Linked DNA regions of Tamandua tetradactyla. The protein of the gene in region 1 purifies or fractionates together with the protein of each later gene. This does not show direct contact. Links are inferred from orthologs where the notes say so. Each region holds a gene or a part of one and is shown in the gene's direction. Other genes may lie near its edges.

Region 1 (6,873 bases):
CTCTGGGCACCTGGATACCCTGCCCCAAGTCTAGGCTATCACAGACAGTTAGCTGCCCCCCCCAGCCCCCCACCAGTCATGACCGTGAGGCCATTTGCTCCATGGGGTCTGCAGAAGGGACTCAGTAGGGAGAGAGCCTGGCCCCTGCTGCTCTGCGGTGCAGGGCTCCCGTCCCTGTCCCTGGGGGAGGCGGTGGTGAGTCACAGGCTCACATGGAAACAACTCTCCTGCCTGGCTGCCTTAGGGTTCCCCTGGCAGGGCATCGGCCCAGAAGGGTGGGGGGAGGGGATGGTGAAATTGGGGTTGGGGGGAGGTGGGCAACTCCAGGCAGCGCTTCTTGGCCTCTAACAGAACAGGGCACTTCTACAAAGAATCTTCTATCTCAAGAACCCCCAGGTCGGGGGTGGCCTCAGGGTGGGGCCATCAGGGTGGGGTCAGCACTGGAGCCAGCAGGGCCTCCGGAGACCATCTGGCCCGGATCCCCGGCTGGACCTGAAAGGCGGAACTAACCACATTTCACACACCAGGCTAGAGAGGGGCAGAGGCGAGCCTGGAGGATTTTCCTTGAGTTTGGGGAGGAGGGATTGTAGGGGAGGGTGTTGGGACGTCCCTCCAGGCCTCCCCCCACCCCCCAGCCCCACCTGCTATGTCCAGCTTCTCCAAACGCCTGAGGACAAGTCAGCCCTGGGTGAGGGTCTCTGTGCAAATTCTTACAAGAAGGAGCTCTGGGGTCCTGAAGGGGGCTGCATCTCAGAGAGTGGCACAGAGTGGGATTGCCACCTTCCTGGGTGCTGGGGGCTGAGAAAAGGTGGGATTCATCAGGAACCCGCAGGGGTGCAAGTGGTGGGGTGGGAGACACCCTCTTTCCTTGAGGGACATGCAGTGATGTTGGGGAAATAAGATCTTTGTTGAGAAAAATCACAAGGGGTGGGGGTGGGGAGGCAGTAATGAGATGAGTTAAGAGGAGCTGGTGGGGCCTAAGAGGGCTTCTCAGAGCTAGGGTAGCTTCTGGGGCCCCACACCTGACAGAGACTGAGAGAGGCCTGGGAGCACAGAGGGCAGAGGTGAGCAGGGACGCTGGCCTGGGACCCCACCATGAGTCGCCCTCTTGCTCTGTTGCAGAGAGAATGACCTGTCCCCTGGAACAGGCACTGGACACCATCCTGGAAGTCTATCGAAGATATGTCACCGCAGACGACAGGCCCACGCTTTGCCAGACTGAGCTCAAATTGCTGCTGCAGAGGGAGCTGCCCACTTGGAGGCCAGTGAGTACCCGGATGTGCCTCTCCTTCGAGTCTGCAGAGTCTGGGCCACCCACGAACAAAGGAAAGTGAGAAGGGAGGCTAGGAAGGGACCCACCTGGCAAGCAGGTGCCTCAGTTTTCTCCCCTGTAAAACGAAGTGACGACAGTCCCACCTGCTGCATTGGGAGGGTTGAGTGCAAACACCGTGAAGAATGCCTGGCATATAATAGGCGCTCAGTAGCAAACAGTTGGTGCTCAATAAATGATCTGAGAAGGAAGATTTGGAGTGGGTGGGCAGGGTTGAAATAGGTATGCAACTGGAACCGGCTGGCTGAGGTTGGCCCTCCGAAGCAGTGTGGATTGGGAGGAGAGGGGCTTCCTCGGAGGGGAGGGACAGAAGAGGGCCAGTCCCCCTCCCCCAGCTCCTCACCCCTCCCCCCCGCTCCTCACCCCTCCCCCACCTCCCGTCGCACAGACTGAGCTTCGGGAGTGTGACTACAATAAATTCATGAGCCTTCTGGACACCAACAAGGACTGCCAGGTGGACTTTGCGGAATACATGCGCGCACTTGCCTGCCTCTGTCTCTACTGCCACGTGGCTTGGAGAACTGTGCCCCGGAGGCTCCCTGCGCCCCGGAGACTGCCTGTGCCCAGTAGCCTGCGCCCAGGGGGCCGGGAGGTCCGGACTTGCCCCGCCTCTGCCCCGCGTGGTCCGGGGCAGGTCACCAACAGTCTCCCACATGCCCCTCTGCCCTCCTTCCTAAATCTCTCTTTTTTTCCTCTTTTTGGGGGTGTGTGTGTGCCTGGGCTGGGAATCGAACCGGGGTCTCCCACATGGCAGGCGGGAATTCTACCCTGAGCCGCCCCAGCACCCACCTATACTCTTTTTAATGAGGGATCTGCCAGGTCCACCCCGATATGCCGCCCCATATCATAGGCTGCGCCGCAGTGAGGGATACAGCAGCCGCGGGCCCCTCTGCGCCCCCTCTTCTGCCTCCCTGCTGCGATGCCGGGCCCGGGGGCGGGACGCGGGGCTGCTGGGGGGAAGTGAAGACCCGGCAGAGCGTGGCCCCAGTGAGGCCGAGCACCCAGGGGCCCAGTGAGACCGAGCACCCGGGGGCCCAGTGAGACCGAGCACCCGGGGGCCCAGTGAGACCGAGCACCCGGGGGCCCAGTGAGACCGAGCACCCGGGGGCCCAGTGAGACCGAGCACCCGAGACCCCAGTGAGACCGAGCACCCGAGACCCCAGTGAGACCGAGCACCCGGGGGCCCAGTGAGACCAAGCACCCGAGACCCCAGTGAGACCGAGCACCCGAGGTCCCAGTGAGACCGAGCACCCGGGGGCCCAGTGAGACCGAGCACCCGGGGGCCCAGTGAGACCGAGCACCCGAGACCCCAGTGAGACCCAGCACCCGAGACCCCAGTGAGACCCAGCACCCGGGGGCCCAGTGAGACCGAGCACCCAAAAGGCAGTTTAACTCCTAATAAAGAGCTGGTGTCAGCGTGGCTGGTTTGGTTCTGCTGAGAGGACAGGCCGGGTCTTGGGGCGGCCGCTGGCTGAGGCTCTGCCCTACCCGGGCCTTTGGGGGGAAGCGGGCAGCTGAGGGGCCCCCGAGCAGCCCACGCACCCCAGGGCCGTTTCAGACCCGGAGGAAATGACCTGGTCTCAGCAGCCCGGCAAAAGGGGTGGGGTCCCACGCAGTGACTCCCATCCTGGGGGAGGGGCCACAGGGCCTCTCTCTGGGGCCCCTGAGGGTGGAGTGCCCTCCAGGCGGGGCAGCCAGTGGTTCAGCGGGGACAGAAGAGCTGAGCTCGACCCAGCCCAGCCCTCGTGACAGGATGCTCTGAGGCGGGTGGGGCCGTGGGGCGGGGTGGGGGGGGTGTATGCCCAGCCCAGGGCTGAGGGAGCCCTGAAAACAGGATTCATGGGTTTAGGATGTCTGAAGTGTCTGCACCCAACCAAGGAGGGGTGCCCTGTGTTGGAAGGGGTAGGGGAGACCTTGGGGCAGACCCCATTCCTGAGGTCATAGTTACCGAGGGCCCAGACCCCCACTTCCGAGCTTCACTCTATCCCTGGGGTCCTCCCCCACCCTGAGCCTCAATGCCCCCGCCCCCGCCTCATCAGCTCAGCCCATCAGCCCAAAACCCCCATCCTTGAGCTCAAGCCCCTCCCTGGAAACTTAACCCTCATCCCTGACTTGTCCCTATGGGACCATTTCACCCCTGACTCCTGCCCCAACCTGGCTTCTGAATTCCTGACACGCACCCCTACGCCAGCCACCCCCACTCCCACCCCTGTCCCTAACCACCCCACCCTTGTTTCTTCACCCCATCTCTGAGCCCCGTCCCCCTCCACCACTGCATGCCACCTCACCCAGGTCCTTTGTTGACAGACATTCTGGGGCGTCCTGAGCCTGCTTTGGGTGTCAGCCAGTTCCCCGTCCTGAGTGCCCCCTGTTCCCCGACCCCATCACCATGGCAGGTGCCCTTTGGGGAGGGGAAGGGCTGATTGAGCCTGGGGCTCCCCACCAAGCCCCATACTGTCAGGGGCATTTGCCATCCTTCCCCCACCACCCCTGAACCCCTTTTCCCAGGCCCTCCTACTCCCTGACCCCCACATTCCATTCACACACCGCCCCCTCCTCTAGCTCCAGGAACCCCAGGTTGAGCTCTGTGCGCTGGGCATGCCCACCCAGCGGAGGTGTCTGCCCAGGCTCACTGGTGCCCACCCACTGTCCACCTGGGCCTGCCCGGGGGCAGGAAGCTTGGTTTCCTGGGCAGGATGGTCGAGGGGGCTGTGGCAAACATGGGCCCACAGCAGGAGGCCAGTCTCCCGCTTTCCCCCATCCCCTGCCATGGGCAGGGCTTGGCCCCGGGTATAAATAGGTCAGACCGCTGGGCTTTCCCCACTCTTCTGTCCCCAGCCCTCTCTCTTTGGCGCTTCCTCTCACTTGTCCTGGTGAGTTGTGGCTGCTTGGCTGGCATGCAAGGGGTGTCTGACCCAGGCTCCGGGGCAGGAGAAAGGGAGGTTGGTGGGGACCAGATGTGCTAAATGGATCCAGATGTGCAATTCAGATGTGGAGGCTCTGGGGTGGGATGTGTGTGTGCAAGAGAGAGAAACAGAAAGTGTGCAGGTGTACTGAAAGGCGGGGGCTGCAGGCAGTGTTGTTGGGGTGTGCTGTGGCATGTGTGTGACCCATGGCTTGTGCTTGCTGGGTTGCATATGGCCATGTGCGTACGCCCAGCAGTGGGAGGCAGATGGAGGCAGAAGGCACTGTGGGCTTCTGTCCGGCAGTGTCCCAGGAGCCTCTGCCCTGCACGGAGCAGCCCAGCCCGGGAGAGCCCGGCTTCCCCTCCCCTCCTCTAGTCTTTCTTCCCTTCTTTTTCCTTCTCTCTTCTCCCCCCTCCTCTTCTCCCCTCCCCTCCCATGCCTGCCTCTGCCACCTCACCCTGCCCCTCCCTAGGCCCGGCAGCTGGTTTTTTCCGCTCCAGGCCCCTGGGCTGGGCTCCAGCAGCCACACCCAGCCTGGAAGCAAGAAGAATGGCTCAGGGTGGAGCCGCTGCCCGGCTGGGGGAGTGGGGGGGTCTGTAAGGGGTGGAAACAACACTGTGGTTGAGACACGACCTGAGTGAGGCCCAGGGTGCTGGCGGCTTGAATCTCCAGAGCCTGTGCAGTGGACCCTGCCAATGTTTGCTGCCTGGAGCTTGCATCTCCCACTCTATACAGCCCCTGACGCCACCAGGAGCTGAGCCCCGCCTCTGTAGGCTCCCCCCACGGCAGGACCAGAGTCTCATCAAATGCTCCATGAGGGGTGGGGAGTGGGTTGGGGGCTGTGGATGCTTAGCTGGCACGTAGGGTAGATAAGGGTGCCTCTGTGAACCCCCCCACCCCCAGATCCTGATTGCTGCCATGGCGTACCCCCTGGAAAAAGCCCTGGATGTGATGGTGTCCACCTTCCACAAGTACTCAGGCAAGGAGGGTGACAAGTTTAAGCTCAATAAGTCAGAGCTAAAGGAGCTGCTGACCAGGGAGCTGCCCAGCTTCTTGGGGGTAAGTAGGTGCCCAGAAGAGGGGCGAGGCCCTGGAAGGTGCTAGTCTTTGCTACAGGTGGTATCTCTCACTGGAAGGGGGAAGGAGGGGGCAGAGAGCTTGCCCTGGCTGCCTTCAGAGAAAGACAGCCGGTGCCCAGCATGCACGGGTCCCCGGCGCAGGCTGATGGAGGGTGAGTTACCAGCTGGACGTGCAGCCAGGTGCTTTGTACTTATTATGTAACTTAGCTGAAGGGAAAGCTGACGCTCAGGGAGGCTAAGTAACTTTGCAAAGTGGTCCATGCATGCAACCGAGAGCTGCACCAGGACTCTTGCTGCCACTCTAGCAATGGAAAAATTTTGAGCTTCTATTTGGCTTGTGAATGTGCCGATGTAGCTATGGAGGCTGGCATACGCCTACAGATCTCCCCTCAAGCAATAAAGCAGCTCTCATCCATGTCAAACCGTCCCTTGTGTGCTGTTTTATGGCCATTACCTAAATGGAGTCTTAAAACAGCCTTGGGAAAAGATGTCCCGCCTTTTCAGTTGACAGCATCCAGGTAGGTATTCAGCAGAGTCCTTCTCACCCAAGGGACAGCCTCCTCCTGCACTAGCTTCGCCCTGAAGGTGGAAGGTCCTAAAGCCTGGGCTTCCCAAGGAGTGGCCAAGCACCTTCTCGAGCCCAGATCTGGGGGGGCACTCGGTTCTCGTCTGGGCTTCACTCCCTAGGCTATGGCGCTTGACCTGTCGCCTCCTCACCTGTCGCCTCCTCTCTCTCCAGAAAAGGACGGACGAGGCCGCCTTCCAGAAGCTGATGAGCAACTTGGACAACAACAGGGACAATGAGGTGGACTTCCAGGAGTACAGCGTCTTCCTGTCCTGCATCGCCATGATGTGCAACGACTTCTTTGAGGGCTTCCCCGACAAGCAGCCCCGGAAGAAATGAGTGACCCCGAGCTGCGGCTGCGGGGGCTTGGCCGGGCCTTGGCTGGGGGCCGTGGGGGCGGTGCCTTCCCCTGGCTCCTCCAGACTCGTGTGTGATGCTGAGCAACTCCAATAAAGAGTCTTGAAAGCTTTAAGGCTGCTGGTCTGAGAGACTTGGTGTGCGGGGTAGGGGCCGGGGGATACGTCCGGGGAAGGCGCAGGCTCATGGAGAGGCAGCTCAGCTGCAGATTTTTGGGGAGCAGACTAGTGGAGGGGAGCTGACCAGGATATGTGCATGGGGAAGGGGCCGGGGAGGACAGAGCTGGCTTTGGATGGCGCTAGGAGCAGGGAAAGGGACCACCGGAGACCAGGGGATCACAGCCAGCCAGCTCACCCCACCCACCCCTCTCCAATCTTGCCTGTGGCAGGACCTCTAACTGAGGCCCAGATGGGATGGAAGGTCACATCTGCTCCTGGTTGGGGTCTGGAATGGGCTTGGGTTGCCAGGGAGTGAGATGGAAGGAAGGAGTCATGGGGAGGGAAGGGGGGATGTAGCAGGCCGGGTGTGTGGGTGTGAGAGCCCGGGGCCACAGGGGGCGGGGAGGAGGGCTGGCCCGCAATCCTGACATTTGCAATCAGGACCCACAGGGACAGATTCATCCTTTCCTATCCATGG
Region 2 (7,205 bases), on another chromosome or scaffold:
TTCCCGGACCATGCATTCCCCCCCCGCCCCCCACAAAATAAGAGTACAGTTGTTTTATGCCATAAAAAAAGGAACATCTGTTTACTGATGACCTATTATGTGTCAGACAATTTAACCTGAGACCTTGTGTCTGATACCTCATCAGATCCTCAAGCAACCCTGTGAGGTGGTTTTTAGTATTCATCTTCACATTCAGCATGAGGAAATAGACTCAAAAAGTGGTTTGAGATCTTGCAGCCTGATTTCAAAACCAGGCCTGACCTTCTTTAAAGCCCACACTCTCACTCCCCATATCTGCCTTGAACTGTAATAAGTCATTTATGTTTTAGGAGAGGGAGCTATTACTTCCAGTTAAGGGTTCAGGGAAGTCTTGTGGTAAAAGTGTCTTTGAACTAGGCCTTGAAGATAGGGCATAAAGATGTGAAGAAAAGGGCAACAGTCAAACATTTTTTAAAACTTTTTATTGTAGGAACATGTACAGCTCAAAATTTCCCATTTTAACCACTTCTGAGTGCTAAATTCAGTAGTGCTAATTACATTCATGATATTGTGCTGACATCACCAGTAATCATTATTCCAACTTTTTCATCACCTCAAACAGAAACTCTGAACTCACTAAGCAATAGGCAAAAGTCATTCTTTAACTGAGAAGACAGTATCAGAGAATATGGCTATGTAGTATGAGTATGAGGAAGTGTGGACTTTGAGTTTAGAAATGTAAGTTGAGGATGGGGATGGAAATTCTGGATGCAAGTCCAGAATTTAGGCTTTGTTCTCTGGGAAGAGGGAGGCAGTTAAGTGTTTTGAAAGGAGTTGAGTGATCTGGGCTGTACTTAAGAAGCATGCACCCAGAAGCCTGTAAAGATAGACAGTAAAATGACATGAACTTGACGAGTTGGGTGAGCATCTAAACAAACTAAGTAGGGACTGTGTTTTCATGCTTACACAAGTTGGGGATGAAGTTACAAAAGGAGCCAACTTTTTCTCTCTTCTTCCAGAGGGCAGAACTGGAGCCTTTGGGGAAAAAGTCAGAAAAGCAGTTTCCAGCTGGCCATGAGAAAGATCTTTAATGATGAGCTGCTTTCCTAGCTTGTGTGCTCCTTGCTGTCAGATAAATTCAAGCAGGGATTAGAAGGCACCCTGTCAGGAATACTATAGCAGGGGTTCTCACTCCAAAAGGTCAAGATGACCTTTAGGGCCCATTTCAAGTTCTGCCTTTGTTATTCTGTGCAGGTTTTCTCCTGCTTTTGCAGTGTACTTTTGCTAACTTTTCAGCTGCCCATCAGGTATCCTGTCTTGCTTCTGCTACAGTGTCCTGATCCCTTGGAGTTTCCTCAAGAGACCCAGAGGCCAGTGGTTTAATATACTTTTTTTTAAGTGTTAGAACCACTTTTTAAAATGAAACATGACAGGGAAAGGCTGGATGTAAAACAGGTAGGAGCCAAGCTACTTTAACTCTGATTAAAGGGAGAAGGGGAAGGGAGCTTGAAATCTCACCCATTGGTTCCTTTTTCACCCCTACCACGTAACCCCTGATTTGAGCACTACTGCTCTAGACTTCCCTGTTTTCAGCTTTCCTCAAGTCTTTTGTGTTTTAAACTCCGATGGCAGCTGTTATCACTCCAGCTGCAGAGGGAATGGGAGGCGACTTCCTGTTATTCTATCCTGCCATCCTTTTGGGGGTGGGACAGTCCCTCCCTCATCTCTTGCTGCTGGTTGTAGTTTCTGGAGAATGTGAGCTGTGAGTGAGATGCAGCCATCCTAAGACTGGGGCTGGAGGAATGCTTGGTAGCAACCCAGCAGCTATTTGAAGGGATTTGGGGAGCAAGGCAGACGAGAGGCACTGATAGACTAGTGTGTCCCAGAGAGTGAGGGAAGAGGAATTATGAGTGACTCTAAGGGACAGGTTAAATGGGTGGTTGGTCCAGAAGATTATCTGAGGAAGTTACATTGAATGAATGGTGAGAGGCTGGGGGAAGGGAAGGGTTCTAGTGGAAGCATAAAAAGAAAGAGAAGATAGTTGAAGTTTATGACTAAGAGAGTATTTGAGTGAGGACAGGGAGCATTTAAGGAATCCAGGCTAGTTAGAAGTGATATAAGGATCCATTATCTGTAGCCCACTTTAGTATTTGGCCTTTTCCACGAAATGGGCATAAGGAATAGAAAGAGGTTATTAAGCACAGAGCTTGCTGTTCAGGATATGGGAAGACATGAAATGGGTATAATGAGACATATATTACCATGTATTACACATCTGTACAATCTCAATAATGCTTACCATAACCTTTGTAGTATCATCAGCCCCATTTTTATAGAGATTCAGAATGGTTTAGTGACTTGTCCAAGGCCACACAGGATCTAAGAGGCAGAGCTGGGAGATGGACCCAAAACCCTATTTCTGTCTACTGTAGTACACAGCCAGGGCATGGTGGAGGACAAGGACTTGAGCTGGGCTTTGAGGGAAAGGTGGGACTAACTACATGGAAGAGTGGGTATTCAGTTAGGCCAAAAGGTGAGAACCAAGCATGGAACTGAGTAGACCTTATTAGTCTGCAGCAGAGGGTTTCTCAGAGTAAAGTGGGAAATAAAATGGGAAAGGTAAATAGATACCAAATTAGGGAGAGTTTTAAATGGCTAGAAAAGAGTCGCAGGGAAAGGGGGACCAGATTTGGAGGGGAGGATGTTGATGACAAAACCAAACATTGTTTTAGAAGACTCACCTGGTAGCGGTGCATATAAAGAATTAGTGATGGGGAAAAGTGGAGTAAGAAATGTAGGTTAGGAGTTTGGGATAGTGTAAGTCTGAACAGAAAACATGATGGTAATAATGTAAAATAAGGTCTGTGACAGCAGTGGCCTGGGTCTGTAGATTTTTTTTTAGTATGTGGTGTCTGAGAGGTATAGATAATCAATACTTTAGATATAAAAAGAAAAAATGCCTTTGGAGACAAGCAGACATTGTTTCCATTCCAGTTCTGGGTGAACAGGGGCAATTTAGTTAGGTAACCTGTCTGAGCCTTTGATTCCTTGTTAATATGGAGGTAACAAGGATGATTATAAGGGTTAAATAATACACATTGCCAACGCTTTTGTCCCTCTACAATTTTTTTTTGGCAGAATGGTGAAATATATGGTGTGTTGTCATCAATTAAAAAAATAAATAGCACCAAAAAGTAATTCATTGTACTTCAAAATGATAGGTAGATAGTATGCTACCTTACAGATAAAGCCACTTTTCACCATTCAGTTCTGCCTTGAAGCAGCTATTATGTAAATTGAAAGAACCCTCTCCTGGGAATCTTTTTGTTTATAAGCCAAGGGGATTATACAGCATGATATCCGTCAAAGATCAATGTCAGCTAATTCTTAATTGATAGTTCAGCTACTCCAATAGGTTCTATTGAAGTGTAATTATTCTCATGTGATTTGTTGAAATGAATTGTGTCCCCATTCCCATCCCTCCTGCCCCCTCTCAGTTAGGCATTAAAACAGCAGTAGAGTCCCTAAAAAGGTAGGTAGTAATTTTTTTCTTACCCCAGAGGTTCAATTTTATTTGCTTGGAAGCTTGTGTGGTGTGATTTTATTGCTGAAAGAAAAGCAGCCACATGGTTGATAACGCCGCCACCAGTGAACAATTCAGAGCTGAGTCGCCGTTTCTAGGATTCACTTTCAAATCTTTCCAAAGGCTTTTGAAGTTCCACGTTCTCATTCTAAGGGAACACCCACCAGTCCCAAGATAAAAGGGGAGAATGAAGAGCTGGCGTTTTCCTTTATTTGCATGAGTAAAGCAAGCCATTTTCTGCACCACGCGCCGCTGGAATCGTACTTGCCCGTGACAGAGGCATTTTTTTTTTCCCCTTAACAAGGGGGCTTAGTTTCGTTTCTGATCTGGCATATAGTAAATATGCCAAGAAAGTTTAAAACTCGATCTGCAAGGGCTTCCTTGTATCATTATCTCCATTCTTTAGAGATAGCAGGGAAGGCAGCATTTTTTTTCCATCAACACCCACTTCCAGCCGAAGTCTCGCTCAGCAAGGAATGTATAAAATAAGTTGACTCCCCTGAGTGACTTTCCCTGGGTCCAATCAGCCGGAGCCCAGGCGCTGCCACCACCCCGCCCTTGCTAACTCTCTTTGGCTAATTCTTGGAGGGAGGGAGGAGAGAAGGCGACAGTGGGAGGGGGAGGTACCTGGAACTGGGAGTGATGTCAGCTCCCAGCGCGGTGCTGGCCCGGATTCCTGACATGGTGCAGGGGAGAGAGGGTGGGGAAAGGCTGGAGCGCGACGGCAGAGGAGTTGTGTAGGGCGAGCCTGCGCCGGGGACGGAGTGCTGGGACTTTGAACTCCGAGGGAAGGTGAACCACAACTTTTGGAAGTAGTGCCGGCGGCTCACCACCCCTCTAGGTAAGGGTGTTTTGCTCCACTTGGGGACGGGAGGAAAGTGGCACCGTTGTGTGGTTGCAGCTGGGTGTTGCAGCTGCCCCTCCTCTTCCCAGGCTGAATTTCCTTTTCCAACTCTCCTGTTTCCCAATGGTAACGGGCACTTTGGGGGGCCGGGGTGGTGGTGGCTTCGAACTAGCCTATATGTGAAAAATACCACAGGATTGGACATGTAAGGTCTCCTCTGTGTTCCCCACACCCTGGTCTCCCAATAGTATTTGAAAACCCCAATCAGAGAAGTGTTTATGGATCAGTGATTCAAATATTATGGTCTTTGAGAGAAAAAAAAAACACTTTTTTTTGTGTGTGTATTTTCAGTTCGCCCATGGCCTTTTATATACCAATATAAATAAAAGAATATCAGCGTTAAACCATCCCTTTATATATTCCAGGCAGGATGTGAGAAATTTATTTGGGGTGTATTATGAGTTTGTGGGAAAAACTGGTTTCTTGGGGGGGGTTACACCTCTAAAACACCAATTCTTCAGATCTTATTCACGCTTACAATTTTTTTTTTTTAATTCGTGCTTACATTTTAACAGAGAATCCCTTTCAGTTGCCAACTTTGTGATCTGGAGGGGTTAAGAAAGCTGCTGAGAATCTTCAGATCTGTTTCCTGTGGTTGCTTGAGAAAAGAATGAGGGCTGTAGTTGTGTTTTCAGGGAGCATTTTTAGAGAAGGGAATTTTAACAGGGAAATGTGGTGGAAGGCGTGGCATACAAACTCTTAATTATAGGAACATGAACTTTCCAACTTGTGGGACCAGAACAAGTCCTTCCTTTCAACAAGAACTGCAAATGGCAATAGAAAAAGAACTTGATTTAAAATTCTTTTGATTTAAAAGTCCAAGTTTGGTATTTAGGGAGAGCAGTTGCCTGTCTGGGGGAAAAGGATTATTTTGAGAAGTGAAAGACTAGAATTCTGATTTTTAATTGATTGCTTATTTCCTGTTTCAAACCTTTTTTTTCCTTTTTCCTACTTGCAGATTTGTGTGTCCAGGGCACTGAATGGGTGTGATTGACTTTTTTGGTGGTGTGTGTGTGTGTTTGTACATAAATTGATTGAGAACCTTTAGTCAGTGCTTAAGGTTCTTTATTTTGGAGAAGAAAAAAACCAGTATGGACTGAGACTCTTGAGTTGGGTTTTCCCTTTCTTTCCCTGCAATTGCTTAGATAGTGGTGATCCCCCAGTCGCCAGGTCAGTAGGAATGGGCATGGACTTCATTGTGAGGCAAAAGCTATATCCCAGACGCCTGAAGGAAAGGGCAGTTCTAGGAGATGTGGAAAGAAAGAAGCTCCAACGTTGTGTCTAATAAACCTAAGTCAGGAAGAGTGCAGATAGGGGACTTTATGGGTGGGGTTCTTCATCTTTCTAGCCAGATGACAATTAGATTTCAGAACTAAAAAAAAGTGATCTTGTTTCGCTATTGTTTATAAAACATGTGGGTCTTGTTATTAGTTATTGTTACTGCTTTTCATTCCTGAAAACAATAAATAGCGTAAAGTGGATAAAGAGCAGGCTTTTTGAAAAGGGAAGGTGCTTCGTGGAACAGTGAGCACATTTCAATTTTGGGTTGTGTTTTTGGGCTAATGAACAGAAATTGCTAATGATTCTGAAGTAATACAGAGCAAGTCTTTTCTATTTATGTACTATAGGAAGTACTAAAACATATTGTATTTTCCAGTGTACTTTTTCAGTAGGAAAGAAAATGAGGTGATGTGGAATTCCTGTGGGCAAATGTGAGCTCACTGGAACCTTGGCTGATGGAGTGTTCAAATGCTAGTCGGTCTAACTGAGGAATGGAGCTGCAAAAACCAGTCAACTGAAGACTGCTTTCAGAAGGTTATGTAGCTGGGCCAAATTCTGATTGATACTTTCTTTCCAAGAAGCTAGTTCTACCCTAAGAAACAATATATCAAAGCTTTAAATTTCATTCAGTTTGAGTAATAACATTAAGTTTATGTAATTAATTTGAACCAATATTTCTCTTACTCTGTGTTTATGAGGCAGATGTGGTATAATAAAACATGGTACTTTCAAAGAACAAAACTTGAAAGAGAACAATGTGACCAGGCTTTGGTTAAATTCTCTTTGACCAGCAACTATTATAATTGCAGTAGCTGTTTTAATAATTAGGATAACCTGGCCCTTAGGGACAAATGTTGGCTTGAAATCTCAGGATACACTGTAGTTTCAAGTCAGTAGTGTTTAATTACAAGGGCATCATAGACAGTCTTTGGAAACAAGTTCATTGAGGGAGTTAGTTTGTTTACATAATCTTTTGTCACTACTGTAGCAGTGCATAGAGCAAGGTCATTTTCTCCCCCTCAGTTACTGACTAGCTTTCATATTCATAAAATATTTGTATTTTTCTAGTTAATTTACATTATGTTAATAATTTGTTACATTAAAAATAACTGAGGTTTTCATCTCCGGTTTAAAAAATTATTATCTACATCCTAAACAGCTTGATTTTCCAGCTGTTAACTGAGAGAAGACCTTGTTGAGCATTCTATCTTTTCAAAAATATTATTGCAGTTTCTGGCCTGGTTTGAGTTACCTTTTCAAAACAGTTAATGAATGAATATCCTATTCTTGCTTGGATCTGTGTCCTGATTCTTCATTATGGAAATGCTGCTATAAGGTGAAAACATAAGCAAGAGGAAGTGCATAATAATTATTAAAAAAAAATTACTGAGATGTCCCTAGAAAGTCATTGGTCCTAAAATTAAAAAGAAAAAAAATCAACACTCAGCAGTCAATAGT

Evidence for each region. Proteins that work in one complex are often made in the same cells at the same time.
Region 2: the proteins of protein S100-A4 (region 1) and PPFIBP1 purify together in Homo sapiens (co-immunoprecipitation; 3 studies listed by BioGRID and IntAct, with this or other methods). This does not show direct contact. The link is inferred for Tamandua tetradactyla from reciprocal best matches to the Homo sapiens genes S100A4 and PPFIBP1.

Annotation. Positions count from the first base shown.
Region 1 is NC_135330.1:6,367,874-6,374,746, reverse strand, and holds protein S100-A4, read left to right. Parts: upstream 1-4,140; 5' UTR 4,141-4,203; intron 4,204-5,139; 5' UTR 5,140-5,154; coding exon 5,155-5,295; intron 5,296-6,054; coding exon 6,055-6,219; 3' UTR 6,220-6,352; downstream 6,353-6,873. UniProt on the Homo sapiens protein: Calcium-binding protein that plays a role in various cellular processes including motility, angiogenesis, cell differentiation, apoptosis, and autophagy.
Region 2 is NC_135333.1:90,538,789-90,545,993, forward strand, and holds the start of PPFIBP1 (liprin-beta-1), read left to right. Parts: upstream 1-4,184; 5' UTR 4,185-4,403; intron 4,404-7,205. UniProt on the Homo sapiens protein: May regulate the disassembly of focal adhesions. Did not bind receptor-like tyrosine phosphatases type 2A.